Astyanax mexicanus: one gene and its partners. The protein of the gene in region 2 purifies or fractionates together with the protein of the main gene of each other region. This does not show direct contact. Links are inferred from orthologs where the notes say so. Each region holds a gene or a part of one and is shown on either strand. Other genes may lie near its edges. The genes, in order: tsc22d1, nrbp1 and tsc22d2.

Region 1 (10,928 bases), on a different chromosome or scaffold from region 2:
ATAAAGTAATTATACAATGTAATGTTTGATCATCATGGGCTTTCATAGTTAACAGCAATGGATAAAAGTTATTATTGTGATTAACTTCAGTCTAAAAATAGAATACCAGAAACATTCTGATAATTTGCCTCTCCTAATGTGTACGCTCTAACAGAACTGCCAGTTTCATTAAGGAGTGTCTGGTGACGGAGCAGTTCATCATCCCAGATCTGTGAGCAAGCTCTGTCAGGAACAGAGGAGTCATATGTAGAGTATACTCTGTGTTGTCTTTGATGGTAATGCAAGTCTACATGTCTCTTGAGTTAAATACAGTGTGTATGTATACCTGTATGACCATGATCTTATTATCCAAACAGTTATTCCTACTTTCATTCCATTACACGCGCTGCCCCTTAGGATGACTACATGAATTCATCTTTCATTAAGCGCATTAGTTTTTTTTTTTTCATGAAAAAGGCCAAAAAGGGCTTGGCTGGATAACAGAAGGTGTGATGTTCTGGAGTTCAGATTAAACAAACTACTATTTTTTTATGACAGGTATTTAGAATATTGCTGTAATCATAGAGGGAGCTTAAATATTACACCTGCAGTTGATACATGTGCAAAAGTCAGCTTCAAACCTTCAACACTTTTAAAGGTCAGAGTGTGAATTGAAAGCAGTGGGCATCCGTGTCTGTCAGTACACTGATATAAGCAGTTGTCACTTAGCATGGGAAAAGTGACCAGCAGCCTATGAAGGGGGTCTGCTCTCTATTTTTATTTATGTGACAATATCCCTACACCTTCTATTCCCCAAGAACAACCTATATTTGAAAATAACCTTGTACATAAGTGTAATACTTTATATTAGAAATAAGAAATGCAGAAAATTCTAAACATTCACATCAGCCACACTTTTTTTCTTAACTTTTTCAAAACAAATTTTGACACTCACCTATCTTCCTCTCCATCTACAGGCAAGTTCTTCAGCAGACTGGCTGAGGCAGTTAAGGCATTAACTCCACCACTCTCCTCAGGACCTAAGGAGGAGCCAGTTTGGGAGGCACATTCACCAGCTGCTAGCTTGGGAAGTGCGAGCACAGACTGGTGCTGAAAGAGAAGGCGTTGGGCATCCTCCAGCTGTGTGGCCATCAGTGAGGGCAGGGTGGCATAAAGGGCACTGACAACAGGCTGGGCGCTGGCATTCTTAGCGCCATTCTGTACCAAGCTGGACTGGCGATCACTCTGAGGATTGGGAGGCACATTTGATGCAGGCAGGCTTGATGTAACTGAAGGGACAAACTGGGCTCCTAATGCCTGATTGCTGAGGGGCGCATGTTGCTCCATGGAGAGCTGAGAGGAAAGCTGTGGTCCTTGGGGCTGCTGGATTACTCCAGGCCCTGTAGACTGCACTAGCTGTGGCATGACCCCACCGGTGGGGGCCTGGGCCATCTGGGGTGAGGGAGTCTGTTGTGGTTGCATCAGTCCTTGAGAAAGCGACTGAGCTACAGCAGTGGGCACAGTGCCCACAGGTGGCTGTGAACCCGGCATCATCTGAGCACTGCCTGCCACGGTGACAGGGGGGATGGAGCTGGACAGGTGGGGAAGGGCTTGCGCTGATCCCGGAGCTGCAGCCTGGATGATCTCCTGAGGCGGCTGCTGCTGAGTGAAGTCAGGTGGCAGGCTGCCCCCTTGGCTTAAAGGGTTGACGTGTGCTGGGGCTACCTGGGCTGGTGCCGCTGGCTGCTGTGCAGGCGGGTAGGCCATCTGCTGTGGGGTGACTCCTGAGAGGCCCTGAGCTGGAGTTAGCTGTGCTGCTTGGGCATATGTCATCTGCTGTGGGGCCACGGCCGGTGATGGATGCCCAGTGGCCGTCTGCAAGCCTACCATATTTACCGCATTTTGTTGCTGCTGAGTGCAGGCTGGCAGTGGGGTGGTTGCACCAGCCTTTAGATGGGGATGCACCATGTCCTGGCGAGGCATCTGAGGTTTGGAAATGTTAGCAGTAGTGGGTGGCTGTGGAAAGATCTGCTGCACAGCTGAGGAGCCTCCGATATCACCACTGCTCACACTCTCAGAGTAGTGACTTAGAGTGCTGACTGAGCTGCTGACAGAGCTCACACTGTCTCTTTCTGAGCCCAACACGTTATCAGGTACAAACTGGCGGATGCTCTCTACTGTTCGGGTGCTAGGTGCATTTTCAGAGGACCCAGAACCTGGAGCCTCTTTGTCATAAAACTCTGTGCATGTCCATCGGCCTTTCTTAAACGGCTCGGAACTAGAGTCCAATTTGACCACTCTGAAGCGTGAGCTGGTAGTAGCAGGAGGAGGCATTTGTGCCTGCTGAGAATGAGTGTTAGAGCCAAGGATAGCATTTGAAGGCTGGGTAGCGTCAGCTGTCCCCACATGACTACCACTTGTTGACCCAGTAACAGCAGTGGCAGTGGTGCCAGTTGTCATTGTGATGACATTACTTACTACACCACTCTGCTGCTGCATTAGGTTTACGTTTTGGTTGTTGGTATTATTCAAGCCAGAGGAAAAAACTACACTGCTACTGTTTGTACTTATGCCACCCAAAGCAGGCACATTGGAGTTTAATATATTAACATTACTTGCATTGCTTGGTAAACGCTTAATACTTATCGTAGCACCTGATGCCGCAGTGACTATGCCAGTAGATGTTCCTGGTGCACCAGCAACCAAGGGCTGACTAATGACATTGGTGGTGGCAACAGAGGCGTTTTCCAGAATTCCACCCACATTCGAAGGCATTTTCTGGCCTATGATTGGTACAGATTCAGGGCTTGTTGTGATGGTGGAGGTCACCACACTACCGAGTGGGATGCCAGCAGCTTGAGTAGCGCCTGATCCTGCAGAAGAAGTGGAATGAGTATTTCCAGAATGCGTAGGGTGAAACTGATGGTGGTGGGGCTGGGGGTGCCCCGCATTGTGGTGGTGGTGCTGCTGTTGCTGCTGCTGAACATGATGATGATTATTATTTTGATGATGATGATGATGGTGGTGGTTAACAGCACCATTGACCATAGTGTGTGTGCCGCCGTGGTGCGTCTGGGACAGAATAGGTGGCTGATTTGGAGATACAGCCCCCGGGGTTTCTGCCTCGTGAAAGTTGTTGAGGGTTTCTTCAGATGAGCTCCTCTCAGGTCCACCGGTGTCATTGGTCCGTGACAAGGACACATCCAGGATCTCAGAAGAGGAGAGGTCCTCTGTGTGGGACTCATCCAGATCATCACAACTTTCAGTGTCCTCAGTTATGCTGTTGTTTGTGCTGACGGAGATCTGGGCAGGGGTGACGCTGGTGATCTGAAAGCCACTTTTCTTTTTAATCTGTGCCCCCGGGGCCACGGGCAGGTTCTGGGGCAGCAGCGTGGGCTGGGGGTGGATGCTGAGGCTTTGAGGAGGGAGCTGGGAGCCGAGCGTGGCCGCGGCTGAGGCCAGCGGCTGGATTAGCGCGGAGGGCTTGTAATCGTCTGCCGGCATCAGGTTGTTGCTAAGGCTGGCACTTCCCGAAGATGTCAACGCGGAGGGAGAAGCACTAGCGGTGTTACCGGCAGCCCGTCGGGCAAAAGTCGCCGGTTGCGCCATTTTTCGGGCGCTCGTCGAGTCTCCTGCTGGGTCGGGGTGATGCATTTCTAGGGGGTGGTCTCCGGCAGAGTTGTAAATACAGCTTACAAGAACTGCCGTGTTGACAAGGTCTTTTTCAGTAGGAATTTCACCTCGCCCAAGTAGTTTCCACATAAAACTAATGGCCCCTTTCCAAAAACAGCCAGGAGTCGATAATTCCACTTTTGTTCAAGGTATTTAAACAATGTCCCGGCCAGGCTACGCGCTAGATAACTAGCTAGCTAACCTGGCTAAACTGAATGCTAGCTTATGGCTAGCTTAGCTAGCTAACGTTAGCTAAGTTAAAAACAGTCGTCGTTTAATGCTAGCTAGCGTTAGTGCTCTCAGCTTAGAAACACTGGTTTACACTCAGTTAGTTAGCAAGCTAACATAACTAGCTTATCTTAGCTATTTAACTGTCGAAGACGTTTCAGATCCAGAACGTTGTCAGATATGACCAAATTTAGTTAGCTAACTAACAGTTCATATTATCCAAACAGCTAGCAAATACAGAAATTTATTATCAAACAAACTGAACACAGCTGAGTTAGCTAACCTAACGTTTTCAATATCCAACAGCGGTGGCTGGCTACAAGTGCATGTAGTACAGTTACAGCTACTAGATTGTGATTCGCATTTTGAATCCGGCGTTACAGCAGGCGTAAAACCATACAATCCACCGACGTTGTCAAGCTGGCAGGCTGTATCCAAAACGAGTACCGTTACCGGAGTCCGTGTTTATTCCATGTCCCCGTCCTCTTTGTTATAATCCAGTGTTAGCTAGCTAGCTGCACCAGTAGCTAAATAGTAAGCTAGTATCTTCTTTCCCAACAGCTCTCTGTCTCTCTTCAGCTCTCTCTCTGTCTCCTTGTAATGTAGCCTGTGCTATTGCTAGCCAGCTATCTGCCTGTGACGAGACCGAAAGGGGGAGGAGAAGCTGCTGATAACATGGCGACAGCGCATGTCTGTTTACGCCGCCAACAGCCAGACATAAAGCCAGTCTGAGGGAAAGGCGGAGGGAGGAAAGAGGAGGGAGGGGTGAGCCTAGAAAAAAAATGAGCATAGAAACAAGGGAAGAGTCAGGAGAGGGTGAGAGCGGGGTGGTCTGTTGGAGAGATCTGCAAAATAGCTTGCTAGCTAGTTATTTATCAGCTGAAAAAAGACTTGACCGTACTGTAACCGCTGTCTCTATGGCTCTAAGTGTCTAATATAATATAATATAAAATACTTCTGCTTTTAAGTGTTTCAGAGGGGTTGTGAGACACCCCAGCAGCGGAGAAAGAGAGAAAGCTTTAGCTTACTACGTGAGAGAACCGGAGGAGGGGGGCTTTATCTCCACTGGACCCCTGAGGTTGTCAGTGGGCGTTGTCCTCATGTCGCTTATGTCCTTTTGGCCCGGGTGATGCTAGCTAGATAGCTAAGTTGGATAGAAAGATACAGCTCTGAAAAGCCCACTTAAGTTTCTTTGATTTTGTATATATTCATATGCATATGTGTCAGTAAAATAAATATTGCTGTTTTATTCTATAAACTACGGACAACATTTCCCCCAAATTCCAAATAAAAATATTGTCATTTAGAGCATTTATTTGCGGAAAACGATAAATGGCTAAAATAACAACAAAAAAAAAAGAAACAGAGCTTTCAGACCTTAAATAATGAAAAGAAAACAAGTTCATATTCATAAAGTTTTCATAAAAACTTCAGAAATCAATAGTTGCTGGAATAACCCTGATTTTAATTACAGTTTTCCTGCATCTTGGCATGTTCTGCTCCACCATTCTTGCACACTGCTTTTGGATAAAACTGATAAAATTCAAGCAGTTCAGTTTGGTTTGATGGCTTGTGATCATCCATCTTCCTCTTGATTATATTCCAGAGGTTTTCAATTTGGTAAAATCAAAGAAGTGTCTAATTTGTAAGTGGTCTCTTATTTTTTTCCAGAGCTGTATCTTGCTAATTAAATAATCAGTTAAGCTAGCTCGCAGACCAAGCTCAGTTTTAAACTCATTATGGCTCACATTTGACATTATGGATGATTGAAAAAAATATTTAAGCAAATGCATGTGGGTACCAGGGGATGTCCAAATATCTGGGTCTTAAGAATCTGCCTGGTTTAATTGGAGACAATAACATGTTGTCACTGTTGAGTAAAAACATTATATGAGTATACTCTAAAATGAGCATACTTTTCTCCAAATGAAAAGTCATGAGAATGAAATTCATTTTACAGCATTTTTATTGGACTTTGTAGCATTAATTTGTTGTGTTTCACATCAAATTAACTTCAGGATATCCAACATATTTATTACACATTGCATTATTAGTCCAAATCATACACCCCTAGTTTGCATGTGTATGTTCCTGTGGATGACTTGAAGGTGGTACTTTGAGTTATCTGTTATACATTATCAGGGCTATATGGCATAGCTAGCTAGCTATTTAGCTTGAATAGACCCACCTAGGATAGTTTGTTGACTTCTGTCTGGGTCAGCAGCTTAACAAAGTGTAAACAGACTGTATGGGGGGAAACAAGCTTGGTGGCTAACTAACATGGTCCAGAAATGTGTCCTGTTTTCACAAAACAACTAGCTACATTGAAAGAGGTGCCAGATTTTTCCACAGACAGAAGAGAACAACCAAACACATGTGTTCACTGCACAGCCATTGCACACACTGATGGTTGGTCCTCTCTGTTTAGAGTAGGAGCTAAAGTTCTAGGCTCAGTAGTTTAATGTGTTAAGGGTTTTAAAATATGACTTAAGGGGAAGGGGCTGCGCAACATGATAAACATATGGTTATATATATGATAAACACATATATATATATGAAAACTAATTTAAAATGATTTAATATTATTATATTATTGTATAATATAGTTTATACTATGACATTTATTTTAAATAGTTGCAGAATATTAACAAAAACATAAATGTTGTGTCCATTTTCAAATGTATTTATGAATGTATTCCACATATTCCTTTTTCATTATGAAACTTAGAAAAATACATAGCTTTGGTGGGATTGCACTGGCACCTTTACACTCTTATGGATTAAGAAATATTCAAACATTGCTTAAAGGGGTTGGGACTTTATAACAGTACATTCTTTGGACATTTACAAGACCTGTTCCATACTGTCTCTCTGATGTTAATGTGTAAAATAGGTCTGTAGTTAGCTGGAACTTTTCTAGAGTTCTTTTTTGTCAGATGTGGTGTGTAGTGTGTAATTGCTAGTAAAACAAAAAGCACAAAAGTTGAGGTAGGGGTAGCATAGTTTAGTCTGTTGTTAGTTGAGTTGTTTGTAGTGCTTTTGATAATTGATTCTAGTAGTGTAATAGATAGCCAATAATGAAAGAACATATTTTTTAGTGGGGAAATCAATTTGGTAATTTTTATGTCATATGAGGTGAGGTACTACTAAGTACTAATTTGAGATAACATGTTAACATATATTCATTGTATGCACATACTTACCTGAATGACCTTCTTTTCAGAGACTAAATTCAGATTTTAGGCATATAACAGTGTCTCATTAAAACAGCTGCTTTGTCAGAGGTTCAGAAGCTTTTAGATCCAGGACTTATTCAATGAAATACAAATGTGTACCCCTGTAATGCAAAAATAACTGCATGCGGTACTTCATTGGACAAAAAGCTGATGTGACCTACAGTTGATAGATATCCCTTCTCTTTGGACTCGTCAACAAACCTGAATGAAAGTGAGGTTGATATGATTGTAATCCGGAACAATAACTGTTGGGAAACGATATAAGATGCCCTTCCGAAATGAATGTGTGCCCTTTGTCACTGGCAGGCAATATTCAGCCCAGGCAGACAGGCTTGTACCCATCCATACAAATGTCGGAGGGAGAGAGCCAGCGAGAGCTGATTGCAATGTAAGCGTCTGGTGCTGTCAGCAGCTTTAAATCACACTGGCACTCCACAACAAAAAACACAGAGAGCTATTGTCCTCCTGAACAATTATGGTCAATTTAAACACTGCTGTCTGCTTTAGTTTGTAAACATTTATTAAAATGATATCTTTATGATTAGATAAAAGAATAGGGCCCACTGTTGAGTCACTGTTTGCATGTAATCCAAGGCTTCAGTTGAAAGCAGAACAACAAAACGCTGTGCTTTCATTGCTTTTCTCTGCTGCTGTCATGAGAGCATTTAAACATGTTCAAAGATGTTTATGGGTTTTGAAATATGTGAAGCCTGCAGATGAAGCTGCTGCATTGACACAGTTGTCCTGAAGCGAGGTGAAATTCCTGAAACAACAAAAGCCTACAGGAGAGAGAGGAGCAGCAAAGCAAAGCCTAAAGTCTCTGAATACAGATGTCAAGCCTGTAGTTGGGGCATTGTGTCCACTTGTGAGCCAACTTTAAGTCGGAATTTCTGATACTCATAGTGTTGTCAGACCAGTCCAGTCATCCGCTCATTTGGTAAATTATTGTGTGCAAATGCCTGCGATATGAAATGGTACCTGTGATTATGATTGGTCATATTTTTCCTGTCCTTGCCCTTTACAGTTGATTCAGTCATTAATGTATGTATGAATAAATAAGCTTTAGATATCCAACATATTAAAAAAATTGTAAGAAAATGCTTGATACATTTTACACCCTTATAATTTTAGTATTACTCCTGTAAAGGTAACATCGTAACGCTACAAAGAGAGCTACATTTCACTAATAATACATCAGAATTGTGGTGTGCCATGCCTAGAACACATTTAACCCTTTCGATAAACTACAATTTTTTTGAGTCCGTTAGCTAATCAAATAACAAACGCATCCTAACATAAATGCACTATTGGGACCGTTTGCAGTAGTTATTTCTAAAAAGCTATTTTAAATGCACATATATAACAATAGTACTAATGTGTATTCTCTATGAAGGAATTGCTTATGTGACTCTAAATATAATTAATGTTGAGATTTGTTGTTGTTGCTGTTCCTGATTTATCATTCATGGTGTTTACTACAGAAACCAGTATTAAGAATAAAGATTTAGATTATTTGAAACACTTTATTGATGCCATAGATAATTCTCTTCCAGTAGTACACTGACTTAAACATCTGTCAAGTGTTGTACCTCAAGGCTTAATACTTAAGCCATTATTGTTTTTATACACATAAACCACTTTAAACTTTCTTTCAAAAGTGCTTTTTTTATTTGACAGTTATATCTATCTATCAAACTAAGATTGATTTATTTTCACAAGAGTTTGCTGCTGGCTTTTGTTGTGACAGCTGATTTAAAGCTAATAAATGATCTCACAACCTTCACCAAGGCGCTTGTAATACGTTTTTGCTAGAAGGTGAAAGAGAGATTGTTTTTTTCACTTGTTCCATTTGTTTCTATTGTGCCACATGCTATATTGTCTCTCATAAATGAAACTCATAGATCTAAGGTCCTCCTGTGGGAATGTTAACCTGGTTCTATTTGTCACTGCAGCTTTGTCACTGTGTAAAGGTCACTGAGTTTTTTTCTTTACCATTAATTTCTAAGACTTTGTTTGGACCTGTTGCAGAGTCACAGATCGGATGTTGTGGTCTTGCAAGTGTTTGCCATTTTGTGAGAGGAATTTTGGTGCAAATTATTGGTGAAACAAATTTGAAGAGGGTGATAATAAAGCTTCAATCTATCTGTGTGTCTTTCTTAGACTTTATGTAATGGAAACCAGGTCTATCTTATGCTTTATCTGAAATACATGAGTGTCAGTGTGGAGTAAGCAGTTGTAGTTAATTTCAATGCAGCTGATTTCATTTTGGTGTCCTTGAATAAGACAGCAAGGACTGTGCTCACAGTATTTCAGCACTCTGTCATTGTTATAACCTTGATCTTCGTTAAGGTGCTTGTTTCAGAGATTTGATTTCATATGAAGATGTGATGAAGGATGGGCTCTGCCTCTGAAAGCCTTTCTTTATGTACCATGTCTTGTATCAGGCCTGTCAACTGAATGTGTTCTTGTTGTTGCGTAAGGATGGAACACAAAAGAAGTCAGTAGATAAGTTCAGTATCGCAGTGTTTCCACTGCATGATTAAATATGTGTTTTAAATCGCTTCCCAATATCCTTAAATATACCTTTGTGTATTAACAGTTGCTGTATGTCAAAATAATATGTGCATTAGGAGACATAAGGTGCAGTTTTATTAGCACATTATGTATGGCATAATACAGGTTACTCTCATTTTGTGTAGTATAGTATAGTATAGCTTGTGGTTTTAAACACAGTCTGGGTTGTGTTATGTTCAGAACAGATGACAGACAGGCTTTGTTATTAGATGGTGTCAAATGGCGCCACCTAGGGGCTCATTTAATAGCAGTGTACTTCTATTTAAATGCTTTAAAGTTCTACATGAATAAACATACACAGCAAAATTGACAGTAATTTAAATTTGTCCTAGATAACATATTGTCCCACTCACTCTAGTGTTAAAATAACTCAACACTGAAAATCTACAAAACATTATAAAATGTGAGCTATACCACAGAATCTGTTACTTTTTTATCCTATCCAAGACACACACAAAATCAAGAGGCAGAGTCTGTTAGATCCAGTTAAATTTTACCTCTGAATAATAACACCAACTCTGTGAAAAACATATTTACACAGTGATTTTAACACTGCGGATTTTACTCTGTAAGTGTATGTATTTATTAGTGCATTCATTTTTTTGTTTGAATTTATATTTTTTTTGCATAAACTTTACCTTTACCAGTAAAATTCTTCTGTTCTATTAATTCTATTAAAATTACATTTTACAAATATTTTTTTTTTTCAACTGCTGTTGCTTTTGTTTTTTTTAATCCTCCCCATCACATTTGAACATCAGACAATGAAGCTATATATAAAAGGAATCAACTGACTTAAATATCTGTATCAAATCTTTGTATTTGTGTTATCTCACCACATATTTGTCTTCTTGCGAGAATGACATAAATGTGACAGTAAAAATGCCACATAGGTAATTAGGCTGTTAGATGTATCAAATATAACTTTATATTTGTTTTCTACCTAATGTTCTTACATGTTTGGTTTTTAGCTCCACTGAAAACTTTATCTTTCTCAGATGCAAACTTGAATAAATGGCTAATTACACCGCTTACATACATACTGTTAAAATACCAAGACAGCTTATAGCATACTGTAATTTATGTTTTAATAAGAAAACAATAAAAACAACTCTTCAAGATCTTTACAAAATAAAAACACTTTGACCATAGTGATTGTGATGACAGGGGTTAATAAATAGGTTACTGAATGAGGAATGCCTGTGGTGGACAGCTGTTATCTTCTTTAATAATGAACAA
Region 2 (11,401 bases):
TCAAATGCTCCAGCTGAATCAAGTTATCGAACACTGCTTTCACTTTTTCCTAAAATTAAAAGGGAAAAATTGTAATTAAAATGAAAATATATTTATAACAGCTAGCACTCCAGACATTACGGATACATTATCAGTGCAAAACTGTTACATAAGCCAAGTGCCCTAAAAACACAAAATGTAGTACGTGAATGTATTATGCAGCACAAGTACACTTAATCTCTTATTATTCAATTGGCGAATTGCGCAATAAGCAAGAGTTTTTACTATCATGTTATAATTAAAAGACGATCAGAACGTGAAATATGTGAACACACTAAAGGAGAAAGGTATCTGATTACACTACAAAAGTCTTCAATGCAGCATCTTTTCCAACAATCTCAAAACTGTGCAGAATATTTCTTCTCCCTAAAGATTTGTATGTGGACCCTAGCACAATTCTTAACCCTCAAATGATGTAATGTACACATTAGTTTTATAGCTGTTACTGAATAACAGATAAAACAGACATATAATATATAGTATAACTCCTAGACACTAAATACTTAAATGGCATTTTCTGTAAAGTTCATAGCAGATACGTAGTAGTTACTGAACAGATGATAGTGGATACTAAACAACTGAATGCAGGTTATATTCAGTGAACAACAAAGTAGATTAAAATGGGGGTTAAAATGTTCAAGGGGTTAAAAAAACATCTGCATGCCATGTGTATTAAGAAATGAGTTTTGCTCATTCTCCAAAAATGTAGCATTTTCCATTTCTTAGCTCTGTGACTAAGCCATAGCTTGACCCACTTATTATAACTGATTAATTGCTAAGATGTATGTCTACTCAGAGCAGCACATGAACACTAGCAAAATACACAGAGCAGATGAACAACCTGATTAACATCTAAGAGTTCTGTGTTAGTATATCCAAAACACAGAATGTGCCGTTCCGTCTTAAGTTTGTATCGAAGAAGAATGCTGTTCTCTTAGACATTTATACCAGTCAGCGGATGCTTCTATCAGCTGTGGGTAAGGAGCTCATAGACAAATCAGACACAAGCTAACTATGTTTAGATCTATTGCTGGTAGCTAATGACCAGCAATGACATTTTTTGCTGTGTGGAGATGATACAAGTAGGACTAACAAACAGCCAAGAAAACAGTTTGGTGGGAACCACCACACAATTTAGTGGACTGACTAAGAGGATGTATTTGTAGGTTGTGTTGTTTTGTGTCTGCTTGTGCTATTTTATATGTGAAATAATTTAACTGTACCTCCTGCAGTTTGAAATTTTTCCTTTCGGAGAACATGACCTCATTCCACACCACCTCCACTCCCTCCTCTGTGTCCATAGCCAGGTAGGCGTTGTCGATGCCAGGAACATTTCGCTGGTTAACCTGTGGAACAGTGAACATGTGAACATCAACTACTTACAATTCTAAACATTTGAAGCAACAAAGAAGACTGACTGTTTTAATTAGGATTCACACATGTATCTCCTTGTCCAACAAACTTAAATTAAAAAATGTGCTTTAAAGTCTTTCAAAGATTTATTTTTTATAACAGAATTCAGTATATCAACAGAGAAATATAATGAACTATCTTGGATCATTTTCTGTAACATTGTTATTATTTTAGCACACATTTCTGCAAAAAAATAAAAATAAAAAAGGAATTAAGCCGCATTTCCAAGGGTTCAACAGCAGCTTCTGCTCTCATTTACTGGTCCACTGTTCACTCTGCAGAGTGTATCTGAACTGTTAGGGCTACAGTCATGCGCAGCCGAACAAGGACCGTCCAAACACACACACCCCTCATAAATGTGACTCATGCTTCTCACAACACATTGATTACGTGTTTCACCATCTTCAGGAATTCGAACATAACCATATTTCATTCAAATAATAATAAATTAGAAATCCTCTTTTTACTGAAAATTGTCTATTTTTTCTTTCATCAGATAAACCCATTCTTAATGCTGTACAGTAATAATATCACGGTTTAACTTTATTTACAGTCCTGCTATAGAACCAAAGCTCTGTACCTCTTCTCTGCGTTTCTGCCAGCGTCCACATGGGCTCTCTTCCAGAATCTCAGACTCATCCTCACTCTCCTCCTCCTCGTCCTCAGTGGCTGCAGTGGCGGCAGGGGGAGGCTGAGTTACTGTGGACACCGGGGGAGATACAGAGGAGACACCCTGGCCAGCAGGGACGGAGGCTACCGACTCAGGCTTCGCTTCCATGGTGGATGTTGGAGCAGTAGAAGTGAATTGTTTGCCTTCTCCTTCAGACATCACCGATGGATAACAGACTTTGCCCACAACCTCCGGCTACAAACGCAGTCTGGAATGCTCGCACCACAAGGGTGGGAGGCAGATTACTGTGTGAGGAGAAACAGAATGGGCACAGCTAAGATTATTACATGGTAAGACTGTGGATGTCAGAATTTAACAAAAACAAACTAAGGAACTACAATAATAATTCACTCTATTCATCCAAATCATAGGTATACTGTGACAATGGAGGTCTGACTTTAAAAAAGAGAAGTCTTAAAGTAATGACCTGTTGGTCTGTCAGAATGACAAAATCCACTGTAAACCTTTAATGTAAAATAAAACAAAAAGTTTTAGGAGTGTGACAGAGAGGACATTGCACATCTTGATCACTAAATGACAGACAGGTCATGTCAAAATAGGTCACAATCATGAACAGATTGTGTCAAAATAAGTCACTAATACAACAGAACAAACAGACGTGTCAAAATAAAATTCACCAATACAAAAACAAAACAGTGAAATGAAACACAACAACAACAACAGAGCTCTATGCAATAACATTTACAATCCAGATCTACAATCCAACACTATAAGCAATCAGATCCTCACAACACTTCAATTTCTAGTATAAATCCCTCCGAGAAGTCCAGGGGACATAACTGCAGTAAAATAAGTAGTAAAATGTAGTAAAATACTTAATATCATTGATTAGTATCATAGTCGTGGGGATATTTAATCAAAAGAAACAGTTACTTCAATAAAAGTATGCTCCGAACAGAAATGAAAAGCAGATAGCAAAGAGTTTCATATAGACCCGCATAGGAACATTATTGTATCTATAAATCTCTTGGTGAAGCCTTGGGGCTAATATGAAAGTATTGAGAGAGGGGTGAGAGCAACAGGAATGCAGTCCAGGTGCTGAATTAGGGAATTAGGAGCTAACTGAGAAGGATTAAAACGGGGATGAGGAACAAGCAAATTCCTTTCCTCACAAATATGCAGACATTTTAGCAGCTCAAGTCAACAAAAATGTATGTTTTCACATGTAACAGAAATTCAAACCACTCCAGCACACATCTGGCTAGTGGACATCAAATGTATAGCATAGGTCCAATGTATTGTATTCAGATCATTATTGTACACAGAGTATTAATTAAATAAAAAACAACAAATATCATAGGTTTGAGTTGTTTCTGAATCAGTTTCTCATTTTTTGCTATGTATAGGTTTATGTTTGAATCAAATTAACATTGTTGTTTTATCCTATAAACTACAGACATTTCTCCCCAAGTTCCAAATATTGTCATTTAGAGCATTTATTTGCAGAAAATGAGAAACGGCTGAAATAACAAAAAAGATGCAGAGCTTTCAGACCTTAAATAATGCAAATAAAACAAGTTCATATTCATAAAGTTTTAAGTGTTTAGAAATTAATATTTGGTAGAATAAACCTGGTTTTAATCACAGTTTTCATGCATCTTGGCATGTTCTCCTCCATCAGTCTTACACACTGCTTTTGGATAACTTTATGCCACTCCTGGTGCAAAATTTCAAGCAGTTGGTGGCTTGTAATCATTCATCTTCTTCTTGATCATATTCCAGAGATTTTCAATTTGGTAAAATGAAAGAAACTTTAATAATTTTAAGTGGTCTCTTATTTCTTTCCAGAGCTTTATATATGTTCGATCAGCCATGCCCACTGACGCGCATAATAAAAATCACTACAGTCACTACAGCGCAGCCAATGAGAAGAGACAACAGAACAGGGTACACTAAACTACACTCATATTAGATACATATAGAGGCCCTTTAAAACTATTTTGCATTATTAGCTTTTTGCTGAGTCCCTCGGTTAAAGTTATATAGTATATTTTTTGTCTGTTTAGGTGTATAAAACTATATTAACAGTGTTATCAGGTAAAGCAAAAATATCTGAAATAGACAGTCGTTTAACACAAGCCTCTTTTTCAGGTTTTGTAGTTAAGTAAAAATCACTTAAGCAGGTTGGTACAAGCTCATCACAGTCTGCTATTTTTAGCTTTTTAGCTGTGGCTAATTTATGGCGGAACGGGTTTCGGTAAAACGCGGAATCCGTTGATTCCTAGCTAGTTAGCTATCGTGTGTGAGTAACTGGGTTATGAAGATTTGTACAGAAAGCTATCGCCGGATTCCTCAGTTCACCGAGCCCCTGACGGGTCCCCGCCCTGCAGCGGAACACAGGCGGGCCGGCGGCGGACTGCGCTCCTCTCGGGCTGATCTTGTAAAACTTGTTCCTCCGGTTTGGCTCCAGCAGCAGCTACAGGCCTCAGGAGCTCCAGCAGCTCCCGATAAGGCCACTGCACCTCTACAACATCAGTTCACCACATCCTGATCACTAACCTCACCCACAGACCAGCGTCACCCCGGTAACACTTTAATAAACATGTTAAATATCGATTAAAACAGACTATAAACACTGAGAGGAGGGCTTTAGGTACTCACTCTGTTCAGGCGCCGCGCCAGCTTAGGTCAACTCCAGCAGACAAAAAGATCCAGACCTGAGGGTTAAGATACATCCACAGGAGCGACTCTAAACTAAAGTCTTAACCCGAAGAAGAGGAGGAGGAGGTTTAGGCGGTGGTGTTTCAGCTCTGAGGAGTGAGATCTCCTCACCAGCCCTCCTGATCTGTGGAGTTACTGCGGATCAAACAACACACCTGATCGATACACACAGACAGACCCAGAGAGACAGGGTGGAGGAACCACAGCGAGCTGAGCTAACTAAATTAGCCACTCAGCTAACTGTCTGACCCCACAGCGCGGGTTTAACCCCCTAACATGTAAAACTGAGCTCTAACTGAACAGTAGAGGCGTGTCTGTGTGAAATAAAGCCCAGCAGAAGAAAGTTAGCGGCGGGGTTTGTCTCAAAGGCGTCGTCCCGACCGGCTGGCGGAAGCCGTTTGTTTGCCAGTAGCCGGAGACTCTAACGGAGCGCTGTGTTCACTGGAGACAGGCCGCACCGCGCCGACACGCCCCGCGCAGCTCCCCGGGCTTAAAGGGCTGATATACCGCACACACGGCCGCCTCCACGAGTCCAACAACACCCACTAATACCATCAGAACATCTCCGCTAAACACCGCACACTAATGGCGACACCAACTACTGCTTCTTCTTCAGCGGTATCACACCACAGCCCCGCACAGCGCCCCCCGCAGGACACCACAGTCCCGCACAGCGCCCCCGCAGGCAAGTAGGTGTAACTGCAGCCTGGGCTCCAATGGGCTTGAAAATACTAGCTGACGCACAATATGACAGACAGGTACCTCACACTTTTAATTGGGAAATGCAATAAATGACTGAAGGTTGATCTCTGTAGTATGATTGACTGATGCACAAACTTATTGAAAGTAACCCCGCCCATTCGCTACGCCCATTGGTTCTACTTGACCGCAGTGGTCCACAAACCCGTAACAGACTGGTAACAGACCACAGCCCCACACAGCGCCTCCTGCAGGAAACCACGAGCACTGAACCTGACACAGATAAATCACAGTTCTTTAGACTGTCTGATGCTGTAATCTGTTAAAACTAGAAATCACACCAAGAATACTGGTCATTTTCCAGTTAAAAAAAACTTTAGTGATTATTTCAAGACCTCTGTAATGTATATTAAATAATATACTAGAAATAATATCAGATCATCACACACACATAAATAATATATATATTTCCAATGTAATTCTGAATAGTAAATCTGTGAAACTTCCCATATTCCCATATAAATTACTACTAGTCATACTTCTTTAGATATATCTAGCATAGCCAACAGTGGCAAGGAAAAACTCCCTCATACTAATAGAAGAAACCTTGGGAGGAACAAAGACTCAGTAAGTGGGATCCATCCCCCTCTGGTCAGCCCTGACAGTAGAAACACATAACAGAACAAAAAACAACTATACAAAGAGACTAGTCAGACTTACTTTATAGGTCAGTAAATCTGATATGTCAGGACAGCCATATACACCATACTCATGCTGGACACATATGGAATTTGGATTCTGCTTTTAAGGGCCTTGCTCAAAAGGCCCAACAGTGGCAACACACTGAACCTAACCCTACTGTTAATAACCCAGTGCTGCTACTTCCCAACAGATTTTATTACTAGTAAACATACAATTACATAACAGCACTGTACAAAATTATGTGAAAATAGAGGCTTCAGTATGTGTCTGTAGAGGAATAGGGGTTTATGCACTACATGACAAATCTCTATTTACAATGCTATGTAGTCCAAGACTAGGCTTTTATATGCATGTCTAACTGAGTAACTGCCCCTATATGGCTACACATTTATGGAGACCACTTTCCGCATTAAGGTGCTTTAATCACTTAATTCTTTCATTAATATAGGAAAAGATAATTCAATGGTATGATAGTTTAATGGGTTGTTCAGGATGTTATTACCCTCAGAGTTGCCTTCAGTTATATGGGGATAAGGTTCAAGCATTATTGTGGTGAAATGGATGGAACAAATTATTATTCAAAAGTTTAAAAAATATTTGCACATCTAAGAACTTTTATTTTAACTTTGTTTAATTATGTAGTTCTAATTTCTAATACACACTACTGTTATGATACTACTGAATCCATTACTGCACATTAAGCACAGTGCACAGGAAAGTGTGAGAGAAAAAAGAGAGAGTGAAAAGAAAGGAAGAGAGAGTAAAAGAAGGGAAAGTGTAAGAGAGAACGGGTAAGAGAGACTATCTTGTGCTACTAAAAGACCTATTAATAGAACAGACTACAAGGATGGCCATGTGTGTGTGTGTGTGTGTGTGTAAGTGTGTGTGATGATGGTGGCAGGGGGTGTGACTCCAAGAATATAAAAGAGCTCACAGCTTGAGCAAAGTGTGATCAGATCAGTTAGAAAACATTAGAGAACTCTTTACTCTGACTGTTTATTCAGCCCATTAATTCACTGTCTGATCTGCACTGTTGTCCCACACAGACTGCAGCCATGAACAAGGACAGAACCAAAAAGATTACAATGGAAAAAGCAGATGAAGAGAAGGTGGCAGAAACGAGAGCACAGACCACAGAGGCCGCTCCTGGAGCTGACAGTGCAGCCAGTCTGTTTGCGGCCCCCGGGAACATTTACTCAGCCATTCTGAGCCGCAATGAAGCCGTCAAAGATGCCAAGAGGCTGAAGGACTTTTTGGAGCTCAGGGACAAATATGTGCGCAAAAAAGTTCTGTTTAAAGACCCGCTATTTCCTGCTGATGATTCCTCACTGTACTACAACCAGAAGTTCCCACTCAAACTGGTGTGGAAAAGACCATCGGTGAGTGAACTCACTGTTTTAAAGGATTTCTATAGTTGTCACGTCAAAATACTATGTCCTTTGCCCTCAAAGAAAAAAAAATGTGATTTTGATATTTTTTGCATGATTTTTTTCTTGACAGCATGGACAATAACAGGGTGGACAGTGACAGAGTGAACAGTGACAGGGTGGACAATGACAGAGTGAACAGTGACAGGATGGACAATGACAGAGTGGACAGTGACAGGGTGGACAATGACAGAGTGGACAGTGACAGGGTGGACAGTGACAGAGTGGACAGTGACAGGGTGGACAGTGACAGAGTGGACAGTGACAGGGTGGACAGTAACAGGGTGGACAATGACGGAGTGGACAGTAACAGAGTGGACAGTGACAGGGTGGACAGTGACAGAGTGGACAGTGACAGAGTGGACAGTGACAGGGTGGACAATGACAGAGTGGACAGTAACAGGGTGGACAGTGACAGGGTGGACAATGACAGAGTGGTCAATAACAGGGTGAACAATGACAGAGTGGACAGTAACATTGTGGATAATGACAGGGTGTACAATTACAGGGTGGACAATAACAGAGTGGACATTAACATTAGCTGGACATCTTAAGCTTTACTTCAACTAAATATGGAGACAATATGAGAAATATTAAGGGAAATATATATATTTTTTAAGTGTGAAAGTGTCTTTCCCTTGTGATTTCATGGATGTCAAATGTACTTTCCTAAAGGGTAGGTTATACCAGAATGACAAGAGTGGACCTTGATATTGTTATGGATAATAATAATCTTTAAAATATATTTTAAAAAAATATTTAAATAATTTGTACTTTTGCTCTGGGGCTTCACTAAAGTAAAAAAATGGAATCTTCACTCTAACTTTCCACCACTAGGATGTAAATGGACATGTTAATGGAAGTAAGAGAATCATATACTGTTATTTGACAAAAATGAATACAGAATACAGAAAGTGTATTTACCAACTTATAAATTTGTAATTTCAGTCCCATTTAAATGTAAAAATGATAAATTAATTAATGTATGAATTAGTTATTCCAGTACAATTTAAACAACAATGCTTTAAAATAAGCTATCTTAAGTAAAACATATTTAGGTTGGTCATCCATTTCTACCCTTCTGTTTAAACACTATAGTGTCCTACAGACAGAAATACTATACACCTCAGTTTATTTATCCTGTAAAATATGCAACCAAATGCATCCATACATATATACAGTATGTAGGTATTGCAAATGTGTATGTATATACACATGTATACACTTGCAAAATTCCTGCATCCCTTTGTTATTGTTGCAACGATCAATCTTTCAGCACAGGCTGGTAGGTAGCATTTGTAGGGCTTAAGCCAACAGACTGTAAAGGTCAGTAGCACTGACTAAACTTTAGAAACAATAATAAAAATGTTTATGTTATAATGTTTTTTAAAATATATATAAATGTATGCAAATTAACATTTTTAAAAACCTGCAGTGTTTGCAGCCAAAATAAGAAATAGTTTTCTATAGAAAGGTTCTTTGAAAAATTTATAGTTATTCTTCTACATTGTGTGTGAAAGCAAATTATTCATTAACTGTTGTTAATCTAATATTGCAGCCAAAAGTGTGACTAAAAAGTTGACTCAGTCAAACCTGTTTCATAAGAATACATCCAAGAGTATAATCAGTTTTTCAGAAATAAGATGATTTTAATGTTTCACAGCTAAACTATATCAGTGCATGAGCTGCATTGAAATACTGGTAATCAGTGGGCTCTCACTCTCCACCAATTACTGACTGCTGTCTACACGAGACAGATGCTTGTGATCACTTCCTCTCTGAGTGGGCCGCCATGCTGTGGCCTGAAATAAGTTGGCCTCTGCTACGTTGCATGCCATAAGAGAATGTGAGAGTCATCTTGGCAGTGTGTTTGTTGGGGCATAACTGAGGCTTAGCGGGCTCTTGGGTCTCAGGCAGCTGACTCTACACATCACTAATGCATCCACTGCTGGGCAGTACAAGCCTCACACAGGGTCAGCAGCTACACACTCCCAACCTGATAATCACCTTCTGTCACTGCTTTTGTTTTATGGCTACAAATCCACCACCTAGTGATTTTACAGCTCTGTCACATTCAATAGCTACAGTAGATCTTACAGAAGTACTGTATAAAACTGGGTTTCATGGTTCCACATGAACAATGTTACAAATTGGATTAATGTGATCTTTCAGTTGGTTCAATTTTTGAAATTATTGTGTTGATATATTTTAATTGTAAATCGTGTAAACATTTCATAGAGGAGGAAAAAGTGTCTTAAGTGTTCATGTCTCAAGATGCACTTCTAATATCAAGTACATTTGGACAGTTTCAAATTCACCATTTTGTCATAATTATTAAAGTTACTTAACTATTTTCAGTAAAACAATTTAATAAATTTAGTTGAATACAAACAGCAAATTTACAACTTCTCCTAATCTCTCCTCATCTGAGTTTAATAGAGTTATTTCTAGTTCAACACCTGGTTTGGTAAATTGGTAAATGTGGTAAAGCAGGTGAGCTGCTGACGGAACTGAACATATCTGGAAATTTGGAACTACACTTTGTTCTTCAGCTTGGCTCAAAGGATATAACATACTTAGTTAAAATGAGAATTCACTGTTACATTTTACTGTATGTATGTTTTTTGCATCTGTTTAAATAATATGTGGTGCTTTTTTCAGGTAAAAACACTCCTATTGATTAGATGAATGGATTAGTGTAATTTGCATCGGTGCCTTAAACTTTTGCACAGTACTGTATATGCTCTGTAAAACATTTTAACATAAAATTAAAATACACAAGTCACAGATTACACATATTGTTTACTCTAAAGTTCTCCTAACTCACATTTGCATCTCAGTTTGGTCTATTAAACAGTTGATCCATTAGTAAACATTAGTAAAGTGCAGCAGCTGAAATAGTTTAAACAGTTTGTAGAATATTTGTTTAGATTTTATTCCCATTTGTAGACTAGCATGGGGGGATGCTTTCTATTCCATACTCATCCAAGCCAGTGCTGCTGATGGAATTTGAACTCATGAACTCCTGTCTTTAAACAAGCAGGCATTAGACAGTTGCTTCACCCTAGACCTGTGTAGCCATGTACATTTCTATGTCCAAGAAAACGTGGAAAGCCCTGTGCTCATTACTCTATTGACCAAAGCTCCACAGACACAGGAGAACATGTGAAAGGAGCTCTAACCCGATGAGAATAAACAGTAAACCAATTGAAGGATGCGATACAGGCATAAAATCTAACAAAATATTAAGCAACACAGTTTACTAATGTTAGGATGCTAACAGTAATTTTCCTGAGGTGTGAATGTGCAGGTCATTTTCCTCTGCTGAGAAGCACAGAAGTGTAGCACCTTTGAAATCTGCCAAGATCAGAGCACATCTGGTTCTTAAATGGAATGCTGATTGGTTTATTTCACGTTACACCCAAAACACACCCATGATTAATTAAAAGAATTAGTACATGCCTTCTGATGCATTTTGAGCTGTGCAAGGAAGATTTTTTGCATTGTTACAATAGCAAATACACACTGACACACCCTAAATCAAGCTGCCTGGTGCACGGTTGATGGCTTGCCTATAGATCACCAAAATATGGCCCAAAAATGCTCTGTGACCAATTACTTAATCAAAGTAAGTTTGCTTGCTTTTAATTTTTAATATTGCAGTTAGTCTCCTCAAGAGGTTGTCATTGTAAACTAATGACAAAGTAACATTATTATTATTATGGTTCTGTAAATGTTAAAGATTGAAAGCAATTATGTAACTGAGAGC
Region 3 (10,897 bases), on a different chromosome or scaffold from region 2:
CATATTTACATTGCAGCATATGAGTGTGAGGCCTTATCTTTAGCATGGGGGCTCAGGGGATGGTCTTGTATTCAGTGTGTGATAGGCTTGGCTCTAGCTATCAAAGCAAGCCCCCCTGGGCTCCCTATCAGTGGGAAAAAGGTGTCGCCCGTTAGCGACAAGTGCCCCGGGCCTCGGGCAGAAAAGGCAAATCCCCCGTCACGTAGGAACAGGCAAAGCAGGATTCTGAGTGATAAGTTGGAGTTATGTACCTCGCTGCAAACACACACTCACACACACATACATAAAGCAAAGCCACAGAGTCACTTGTCAGTTCACCATTTCCTTTGAAGCCTGCCAACCAGCTTGATGAATCGCGCTCAAAAAAAAAAAAAAAGTGCAACTCAGGAACCGAAAGTCAAGCATTCGAGAGGAAGCAGAGCAGCGACACTTCTCAAGAGAAACCGTGTTAAAACTTTTTATGCTGCTTTTTTCACCCCGGCCATCAAATAACAGCAGGCTTTGTGTTATTTTGGGAGCACGCAGACCACAAAAATACTCCTTCCTAGGGTTTGAGCGATTGCCAGTTTGTTAGATATGCTTCTTCTCAGCCTTATCATTATCAGCGTTTGCCATCGAGCGCATGGCAAAGAGCCACAGAAAAGCCCTCGAGGGTCTGCAACACATGCGCCTTTCAGCTGCCCTGCAAAAACTTCCCCATACGAGCGGCGATGGCTCATGAGATAAACACCTCGACGTGAGGCGTCCTGATAAATAGCTGTTCGTCTTTCTTGCTTTCTTGATTAAAGAGAAGCTCTGAGCGTAGCCACTCAACAGCAAGGTGAAATAACTATGATTTTTTTTGACCGCGATAAGCCGATGATGTTTTGCATAATTTAAAGTCATTTATTGTAAAAGCTTGCGTCTCTTAACAAAATATTACTGACAGCTTAATGACGACTGTGTCCTCTAAGATTTTAAATTTTTTTTTTAAAGGGACGCCAACCTCACACTCCTCCATAGCATTGAATGCATAGAATGCATTTCCAAGTGCTGCAATATAGAATGCAAACTGGATACACTAAAGATGCAACGATTAGTCGATATAATCAACGTTATCGATTTATTTATAGAAATTTAATTGTCGACTAATCGTTAATTTCTAACAGTACCACATTACACAAAGTGCTGGGAAATGGCAAGTTTACACTCAACTTGCTCTGTGTTTTCAAAAGTGCACAAACACAACAGATGACATATTTACTCACTAAATATAAAAACTTTAATAAACTTTTCATGCTTAAACAACATCTGAACGCTTAAATGGCTTTTAAATCTCATGTTTAACCATTTCTATAGTTTTTAGAAATGGAGAATATAGCAGAAATAATTGTTGACTCATCAAATAATCTGAAAAATTATTATCAGATTAGTCGACCATTAAAATAATCATTAGTTGCAGTCCTATCCTCAATATGCGTCAACATTTTCTTAAAACCCTACTAAACAGTCAGGGTCACGGCCACGAATAACAGAAAGCAAATCCTCAGGGGTCAGCAGGCAAGGCCAGAGTTTAAAGGAATAAGGAAACTCTTAATGCAGAAGGAAGTTCAGGATTCAGACTTTTCTGAATCATTCTGAAACAATAAAACCTCAGCTGAAGCTTGCAAACAGCGTCTGAATGAAAGAAAAGATATTTCTGTACATATAAGGAGGTTCTCCTTGTTTTCCTCCTCTGCAGATGACTTCTCAGCTTCAAGAGGCCCTAACAAGAGAACCCAAACAGAAGGCTTCCTTCGTGTGGCCTATGGTGGGGATTTGTTACAGTGCACGCTCACTACAAGCAACAGCATGACTGACACTTATTCACAATCATTCCAATCAATCGCCAGTGTGCAAAGCTGAGGTTTTTGGAAGTGAAAGTTAATTATCATCATGTGATTAAAAACAAAAGTTAAACATCTCTCAAACATTTTCCTTTTAAGACATCTACTAGACTGCTTTCACATTAAAAACCCATCTGATGGCAAGATATTATCATGACTAGGGTATTGTACGTAATTTATGTAACGTGTAATTAATATTATGAACGATATTATACCCTTAAAATATGGTGTCATATCACCTACCCCTAATCATCACATCAGGGTGCTACTTTCCCACTTTATATACCTACTAGATACAGATTATATCTGTCCAGTATCACTTATTTTACTTTAATTCTGGATATATGGAGATATTTGGAGGAGTGTTATTATTATTGGTACCACGACATTCTGGATTATTGACTTCTGTTACAAATCTGATCAAATTCTTGTATTTTTTAATATCTCAGTTAGGGCTGTGCCTTATCATATCATATGTAGTAATAAAATCTTATTTGCATTTTGCTGCAGTAGTGTATGATTATGTTTTGTTTTTACTAGAAATAAAAAAACACTGTCCTGTCATCTTTATCAGGCTTATACAGTGTACGTTCATAAACTTTTGTGAATGCTGTTAATAAATTTTTAACTTTAATACGCACAGCTAATTTACAGATTTAAATTATTTACTCCAACACTTTCGGTATTAAGTTACAGAGAATTTAATCAGATTGTTAGTCAATTTTAGATGTAAAATTTTAAATATGTAATTACTGTGTAATACTGAATAATTACTATTCATAGTAATTACTATGAACCTGAAGTACATAAATAGCATGTATTTTTAAAAAGGGAATACTTTGTAAGAACAGTGTGTAAAATTTTAGAGGTTCTGATGTGTGTGTGTGTGTGTGTGTGTGTTTAAGCCACCTCTATTTTTTATTCTCCACTCCAGTTTACCATCAGATATCAGAAAACACAACTGTGACCTTACGCTTGCTCTATCGCTCACCCCTTTATGAACTTAACACGAAAGCTCTGTGGTTACGAGAGTGAAGAACCTAAGCAAGATGATAAAAATAAATAAAAAATAAAGCAGGCCAAAATAATGTGAACCCAACATCAGGTTTCAGTGCAAGTGAGTGACTCCTCACCTGTCATCATCCCCATCAATAGGGATGGTTATTCCAAACAGGCTGTTCACTCCAGGGGTGGCCAAAGGCAGGTCCTCCGTGATCAGGGGCTTGCCCAGATCTTTCCCAGGCATCAGAGGAACCTGGGCCAGAACGTCCGATTTCCTCCGGCCCTCCTCCAGCTGGCCGAACCCACCCACGGCTGCTGCGTTGCGGGTCACTTGGGCTTGAGACGAGCTTGCATTGGGCATGGGTACAGGCACGCCTCCACTGGCTGGCATTGGGGAGTGCCCACCCGTAACGGGCGCACCGCCCATCCCAGCTGATGTGGGCACTGCTGGCAACGTTTGGGCGTTCTGTGGAGGCACTGCCATACTTGAGGGTGGATACTGTCCCAACTGAACTGATGACTGTCCTGTAGGAATAGCGCTCACTCCACTAATCATTCCTGCCCCAAGCTGGGGCAACAGGTTTGAAACTGAAGGCCCAGGCTGGCCCCCTGGTAAAGGAACAGGCATGCCCGTCATATCCCCAGGAACACCCAACACAGGCATGCCCCCCGCTGCTGGAGTTGGGACGGGTGAAGGCCCCTGGCTGGCTGGGTGAACCACAGACAAGCTAGCACCGGGATGTGTTTGGGCGACAGTCAGAGGCAGATGCTGCTGTGCGTATTCGGCTAGGCCCGGCTGGTTGGGCAGGTGATGTCCAAGAGGTAACTGCTGCTGCTGTGTCTGCTGCTGCTGCTGCTGTTGGGCCTGATAGAGCATTGTCTGCTGCTGAGAAATTGTTGGTGCAACTCCAAGCTGCTTCTGAACGTGATGACCGCCTTGCTGCAACCCATTGTGCCCGGGCGGGAGAAGGCTGTGAGGAACGTTGGTGACATGAGAACCAGGGCCTGCAGGGGCCTGATGCTGCTGTTTGCTACCGAGGGCGTCAGAGGTCACCGTCCCAGAGCCAGGAGGCACCTGTTGTGGCACAATACCATAACCATGTTGCTCGAAAGGATGCAGAGACCCATGGAGCAAGGATGGGTCGAGGGCGGGCGGCTCGTCCCCCTGACCAGAGAGGCCAGAAGGGCGGGTCACGGATCCTATTGTGGCCCCGAGCCCACTGTCTCTATCTCTGTCCGTGCCTTGCTCACTCACCACGCTCACATTCGTGTGCCTTATACTGTCCACAGTTCTACTACTGCCCACATCAGGGTCTTTTTCATAATACTCCGTGCAGGTCCACCTGCCTCTCTTGAAGGGTTCTCCAGTACTGTGGTCAAGTTTGATAAGCCTGAAGCGAGAACTGAAGGCCCCAGAGGAGGTGGAGGAGGATGATGACTGGGTCACCTGGGATACCTGGGGCAACTGGGACGACTGGACAGGCCCCTGTGGCCCTTGATAGCCCACGACTCCAGGTGAATGTAAGCTCCCAGGCAAGGCTCCACCAGATAAGGTTCCCAGTTCCCTAGGCCCCACGCCTCCGTTGGAAGGAGCCAACAATCCCGGCTTGTGAGAAGCAGGAGGACCCTCGGATTCTCCCACGTTGTTCAGAGTCTCCTCGGACGAGCTGCGTTCGCCGGTGCCCGCCTCCAGCTCGGTCCGGGACACACTGTCAAAGATCTCGGATGAAGAAATGTCCTCAGTCCGGGATTCGTCCGGATCGTCCAGGCTTTCCGTGTCGTCAGGCTGGCCGCTGCCGGCCACCTGAGCCTGAGTCACGCTGGTGATCTGAAAACAGCTCTTTTTCTTCGCCGGCATCTTAGACATGTCTGAAACAGGGTCTGTGAGCACCAGCCAGGCACCAAATACGACCCAAAAATGTTTAAAAACTAAGACTAACGCGCTACTTCGCCCCAGAAACGCAGCAGAGGAAACCTGGACGAGCTTCTCTCAGATTTTAGCGCTAGCTGCCGTTAGCCTGTGCGTCACCGTCGCTCTTCCTCTTCTCTCCTGTTGCATTTTTCGACGACTTTTTTAACACAGTTAAACCTTCAAAAAAGCTCAGAAAAGTCCTTTCCGAGGGCATTAAGGAGACGACGGGTGATTAAAAACAGAGTCCGCACTACAAACCCGACTTGAAGAGGCCTAAACGCAGCTTTTCAGGCTCCGAGCCGGGCTCCGAAGCGACGCCGGCGTGGCCGTCGAGCTCCCCGGGCTGAGGCTGCTTTCTCCGGGCCGAAGCGGGAAGGCTGCCCGCGGCCTCGCATCCACCGCCGGCCTCGGCCTCCGCCTCCAGAACAAGTACCAAAACACTCCGGGAAAGAAGGAGAAAGACGCGCCCGCGCCGTTCCGGAGCAGCCTGGGTCTGAGTCAGACAGGCGGCCGCGGTGTGTTTTAGTCTCTTTTCCTGTAGCGCTGATCTGCAGACTGTGTGTGGGAACGGCGCTCAGACCGCGGAGCAGCAGCGCTAAACCCACCGCACTCCTCCGCTCTACAAGATGGCTAAAGATACGCACAGGCTGACTGCGGAACGAGCGCAAATCTGCGTGGTGAATACGGAACGTGCGTAGGGTTTAGTGTGTAAGCGTAGCAAACATGAAAGACTTTTATTCTAGAATTTTACAAATATTTTTAAACACTTTAGTTTTAAAATCAATTATTGTAATAATAATTTAAAAAAAAAAATAATAATTATATTATTATATAATACACAAGTAATATTTTAATATAGTTTTAAATTACATACAATGTTTTAATAACTATAATAAGACCTGATAAACTCGTGATCTTTAAGCAGCAGAGAAGAAAAGCTAAGTAAAATAGTTCTAATTATAATTATTAATATAACATAAATAATTAAAGAAGATTTAACATTCTTATCGCCTTTTTTTAAACAATATTTTACATTTCCACTGTCATACTACTGCGGGTTTTATTTTGTTCTCTCTTTATATATATTATTTTTCTTACTCTTTAATTTTTTCTTTACTGTTTAAGACCATTTGCTATCACCATGAGTAATTATTTATTTTCATTATAGTTAAAAGCCACGAAAGCTATGTAGGTAAGAAGGCTTATATTTTGTGATTGATATTTTTGTCTTCTGTGCATGTTAATGATTTATTTATTTTTGATAAATATTTGTATTTTTGAAAAAAGAAAGTGACTTTTTAATATATATTTTTTAAGATATATACATTTTCTCGACATAGAGGGCATTATTAATATCTTTTTATGCTGGGTTCTTTACTTCTGGAGAAATCTTCTAAACATCCCTATTTTTTATATCGCAACATATTTTATAGAAGAAAAATATGTATATATATATATACACACACATATATATATATATACATATATATATATATATATATATATATATATATATATATATATATATATATATATATATATATATATATATATATATATATTCTACTATCATGTCGCCATACTTTTTGGGAATCTAGGCCTTAATAAATATGCGTTATTTTATTACAGAACATGTTTTTGAAGCAGGGCTCTCTGCTTTGTTCTGAGACCTACAGTGAAATCCAGATGTGGTCCACTAGAGGGAGCCACATACACGCTGAAAAGACTGCACTGCAGCAAGAGGAGACACCGCAGCTGCGCTCAGCAGACCTGATACACAAACATCTGCATGCAGAACACCTTTAACTGTGTGCAAATAAAACTATATAAAACTATCTCTGTACTTTATTAACATCCTCTCTATCTGAATTGATTGTTAAAATATATATCTTTATCCTGGATGTAAGTGAGTAAATGATGTGTTGGTTGGTTGATGCTGCAGTTGGTCTGCAGGTTTAGGTTCAGCAACAGTATGTGCTGAAAGAATGAGGTCAGCTGACTCTACCTGAATATACTGAATATAGACCAGGTTATTCTTCCATCAATGGATCGAATATTCCAAGATGACAATGTCAGGATTCATGGGGCTGGAATTGTGAAAGGGTTCAGGGTTCAGGGAGCATGAGACTCTACCATCATCAACGCTGCTGCAAGATCTTGAAAATATTGTTTACTTTAATTCTATTTGTACATTTTTTTCTCATAAAAGTGCAAATCAGCCATATAATTCTTCTCCTAAAAAAACAGTTATTTTAAATGCTATACTGATGTTAACAGATGTTGAAATGTTGTTCTACCTCATAGTTTTGTTGAATAAATAAATGCATTAATAAATGTATGCATTTCTTGCTTTTACACAATGATATATGAAGCATTTTAACATTTAAAATTTAAGATTCTATGTTAGCCAATTCAAGTCTTTCAGTCCCAAAATTGGACAAGGACAACATCTAAAAATAAGACAAAACTATCTGGTATGACCTTCGTTCTGCAGCATTTACTGCAACTAAATGTTTCCAGTAACTGTTGATTAGTCCTGCACATTTATTTTGAAGTATAGATATCAGTCTTGCATAGATGCCTGTTCTTTTATTTGATATGTGCAGATATACTTGAGTACTTTGTGCAGGAGACCACGTCATTTCTTTATTATTAGATTTCAGTTACAGAAATACCATTTACATGATACATGCACCAGTAAATCTCAGCCAGATTAAATTCTCTAACTATATAAACCAATAACAAGGCTCTGTTGACATAGCTTCATACTTTAAACTGCTGTAGTTATATCTGATTCTGAGCTAGTGTCTAAAATACAGAGAACAACTACCCCTGTAGTTGTCCAGACATTAAGCATGTGAATGCGGTGGAAGTTTTGCCTAAAGCATGGAAATAATGCTGAATAATTTATTTAGGCCGCTGCCCTCACGTGCATGCAGTGTTTACCGGTCCTAACCTGTCAAAAGACAGCAACAGGAAACTGTATTTTAGTTATCAAAATACAATTTTGTTTTATTGGCCTCCAGAATGATTAAATATTTATGTATTTACCTGTAAAACATTATATGACATTAGAAAAAAAACAAATAAACATAAAGCCAATAGTCAGTGAGTGTGTCTACCTTTAAAACATTATATAACATTAAAATAAACCCAAAAAAGCATAAAGCCCATGGTTAGTAAGAGTGTCTACCTGTAAAACTTTATATAAGATTAGAAGAAACCCAAATAAACATAAAATCAGTGGACATATCTACCTGTAAAACTTTATATCTATATAACATTAGAAAAAACCTGAATAAAGAAAAAGTCAGTGGTTAGTGAGTGTCTACCTGTAAAACTTTATATTACATTAAAATAAACCCGAATAAACAAAAGGCCAGTCAAAATCCTTTACCTAATATCTAGGCTATCTAGTTATCTAGGTAAACTATAATAAAATAAATGTACCTTATTTTAACTCATCTAAAAAACTAAATTTTACAGCAAAACACTTTCCCACAATTCCCCTCTTTTCGTGTCATGCCATGCTCTACACCACACTAATTTGCCATACAAATCTGTACGCAGGTTGAAAAAAGTTTTTAGGTCTTACGTTTTAAGTTCAGTGTTAACAACATTAGCCTAGCCTATGTTTACATATGCTTTCCATTTACCATTACATGTGGTTTACATATGACCTTACATGCCTGTGCACAACTGTACGTGAATATATATATATCACTGCAGCGACACTGATTAGCATGGTGGTGGTGGTGTATGAGGTGTTAGTGTGTGTTGAGCTGGTACAGTGAATGTATTAGGTACAGTGGTGCTGCTGGAGGTTTTAAACACTGTGTTTAAACACTGAGGTTTTAAACACTGCGGGGCTTATAGGAAGGCCTCAAATAATGAAAAAAAAAAAAACAAGTTTATATTCATAAAGTTTTAAGAGTTCAGAAATCAATATTTGGTGGAATAACCCTGGATTTTGATCACAGTTTTTTTCATGCGTCTTGGCATCATGTTCTCCTCCACCAGTCTTACACACTGCTTTTGGATATCTGCTTATCTTAAATGCTGCACTGATGTTAACTTGAAATATTGTTCTCTTTAGTAGTTATGTTAAATAAATAAATTAATTAATTAATATATGCTTTTCTTGATTTTACACAATGAATTATGCAAAAAAATTACAAAAAAATGATCAATTTCTTTCTTTTTAAGTTTATCTCTTAGAATAATGACCCACTACCCAAATATTAATAATAATAGTAGCTGTATCTCTGTTCTGGTCTATTTATGCTGTGTGAAGAGGATAATAATAATAAAGTATGTTGAGAAACAGATGCAGAGAACTACAGTCTGCAATCATAGAACTACAAAGTGCTCCTCCTTTATAGACAGTGGAGCTGATAAGATAGAAAACTAACTGAGAGAGCTGAGAAAGAGAAGAGAGAGAGAGAGAGAGAGACACAGAGAGAGAAGGCCAAGCCGACTCCTCTCGAGGAAGTCCCTCCCATGCACATGACCCGCCGGCTCTAAGTGGTTTCCTGCCATGCAGCACATTCTCATGGTGAGAGGGAAAAGTCCCGAGCAGAAACCAGCCTGGAGAAAAAGCAGGAAGTGTTACAATGCCTCGCTTCAGCGAGGGACAGGCAACACTTTGTGGATTCGAGAAAGATCTATGAGGAAAGAGCGCAGTGTGCTCCTGAATGGGGGCCTTATTTCACTTCCAGCCTCAAATCCTTTATGAACATTTTACTCCAGCTGATCTTCACCAGCCCTGCGTGTGTTATCTCCAAATGACCTTTAGATCGTAGATGTGAGTGACTGTGTCACTGTGTTTACTCCTTAGGTGAGCAATGTGCACCAAGGTGATTAAGAGTGTAAATAGACGAAGAAGAAAGAAGAAGACGAAAATAATTCACGAGTTTAAGAAGGAAAACAACCTGGACTGGCTCTGTATTTTCATACGGCACGCAACAGGCCCAAAGCTAATTTCCCTAACCCAGTGATACCGAGCGTTCATACGCCCCATCCCTATCTCAGAATAACGTATTCATGTTATCAGCGTGGACAATGTCATGGGTAGAATCCCACCTCAGGTTAACGTTTGCTTTTTCAAGGCGTTCACCAGGTGTCCACCTAGCGACCTTTGCCTCAGTGCTGGAACACGCCCTACACTCTAAAAAACAGAGGTACGATATGAGTACTTTTTTGTACTCGAAGGTACATTCTTTATAATTGTACCCTCAAAGGTACAATATTGGTCTTTACAGGGTCAGATTTGTTCCCTCTGAAGTACAAAGTCATTTCTAACAGCAATAAGTACAGATTTGTACCATTTAACCAGCCAAAAGGTACATTCAGTATTCTGCATCACTGTACTAATGAACAGTATATATTTAAATTGCACATTTTTTATTTGAAAGCCAGACAATTTTGTATCATCAAGTTTTTGAGCCATTTTTAGTTGATGACAATGTTTATAATCTTTATAATCTATACTGGCACAAAAACCATGGGTACAAAAAAGTACTTTCACTGAAAGGTACTTTTTTGAACCTTAATATAAGGTACAGCCCCAGCGACAAGCTTTGTACTCTTTTAAGTACAAATCTGTACTTATATTTCTTAGAGTGTAGTTTGTCATGTTCTCTGGGTTGTGGCGCGAATGCAGCTCTGTGCAGTCAAATGTGTGTTCAATCTGCCAGAGCTGAAGCTGAAGCAAAGACAAACCACAGAGTACTTTTATGTTAATAACTAAAGATAAAAGTAAAAGTACCATTAAAAGTAATTATTATTATGTATTATTAATTATCTGTTTGTTTGTATCAAGGTATAGTTCAAGAATTACATAGTATAAGAGAGGAGCTAGCTAACTTTAAAATTCAGCATTAAACACACTATTATACTATTAGTGTTAAGCCCTATCTGGATAGGATTAGTTTCTCAGGGGGCGTCTGTGAAAAATATCTCACACTTCTACTCTAAAGTAAAAAACATCCTGCATCCGGACTGCAAATAAAAAAACAGGAGAACCAGTGAGATTTTAGGCTTTTTTCTCGCTCACATGACATCATCAGGGCGTTCAGTAGCTCCTCCATTTCCACTCGCTGTTGTGTTAATGTTATAT

What was found.
Region 1: the proteins of nrbp1 (region 2) and tsc22d1 purify together in Homo sapiens (affinity purification with mass spectrometry; 6 studies listed by BioGRID and IntAct, with this or other methods). This does not show direct contact. The link is inferred for Astyanax mexicanus from reciprocal best matches to the Homo sapiens genes NRBP1 and TSC22D1.
Region 3: the proteins of nrbp1 (region 2) and tsc22d2 purify together in Homo sapiens (affinity purification with mass spectrometry; 5 studies listed by BioGRID and IntAct, with this or other methods). This does not show direct contact. The link is inferred for Astyanax mexicanus from reciprocal best matches to the Homo sapiens genes NRBP1 and TSC22D2.

What each region holds. Positions count from the first base shown.
Region 1 is NC_064418.1:28,486,544-28,497,471, forward strand, and holds the start of tsc22d1 (TSC22 domain family protein 1), read right to left. Parts: upstream 4,615-10,928; 5' UTR 3,742-4,614; coding exon 935-3,741; intron 1-934. UniProt on the Homo sapiens protein: Transcriptional repressor. Acts on the C-type natriuretic peptide (CNP) promoter. Acts to promote CASP3-mediated apoptosis.
Region 2 is NC_064408.1:79,489,606-79,501,006, forward strand, and holds the start of nrbp1 (nuclear receptor-binding protein), read right to left. Parts: upstream 5,433-11,401; 5' UTR 4,745-5,432; intron 2,368-4,744; 5' UTR 2,282-2,367; coding exon 2,033-2,281; intron 1,386-2,032; coding exon 1,263-1,385; intron 50-1,262; coding exon 1-49. Other genes in the region: capn3b (calpain-3b), read left to right, coding at 7,261-7,584. UniProt on the Homo sapiens protein: Required for embryonic development. Plays a role in intestinal epithelial cell fate and proliferation, thereby involved in the architectural development of the intestine potentially via the regulation of Wnt-responsive genes.
Region 3 is NC_064415.1:57,644,725-57,655,621, forward strand, and holds the start of tsc22d2 (TSC22 domain family protein 2), read right to left. Parts: upstream 5,399-10,897; 5' UTR 4,735-5,398; coding exon 2,999-4,734; intron 1-2,998. UniProt on the Homo sapiens protein: Reduces the level of nuclear PKM isoform M2 which results in repression of cyclin CCND1 transcription and reduced cell growth.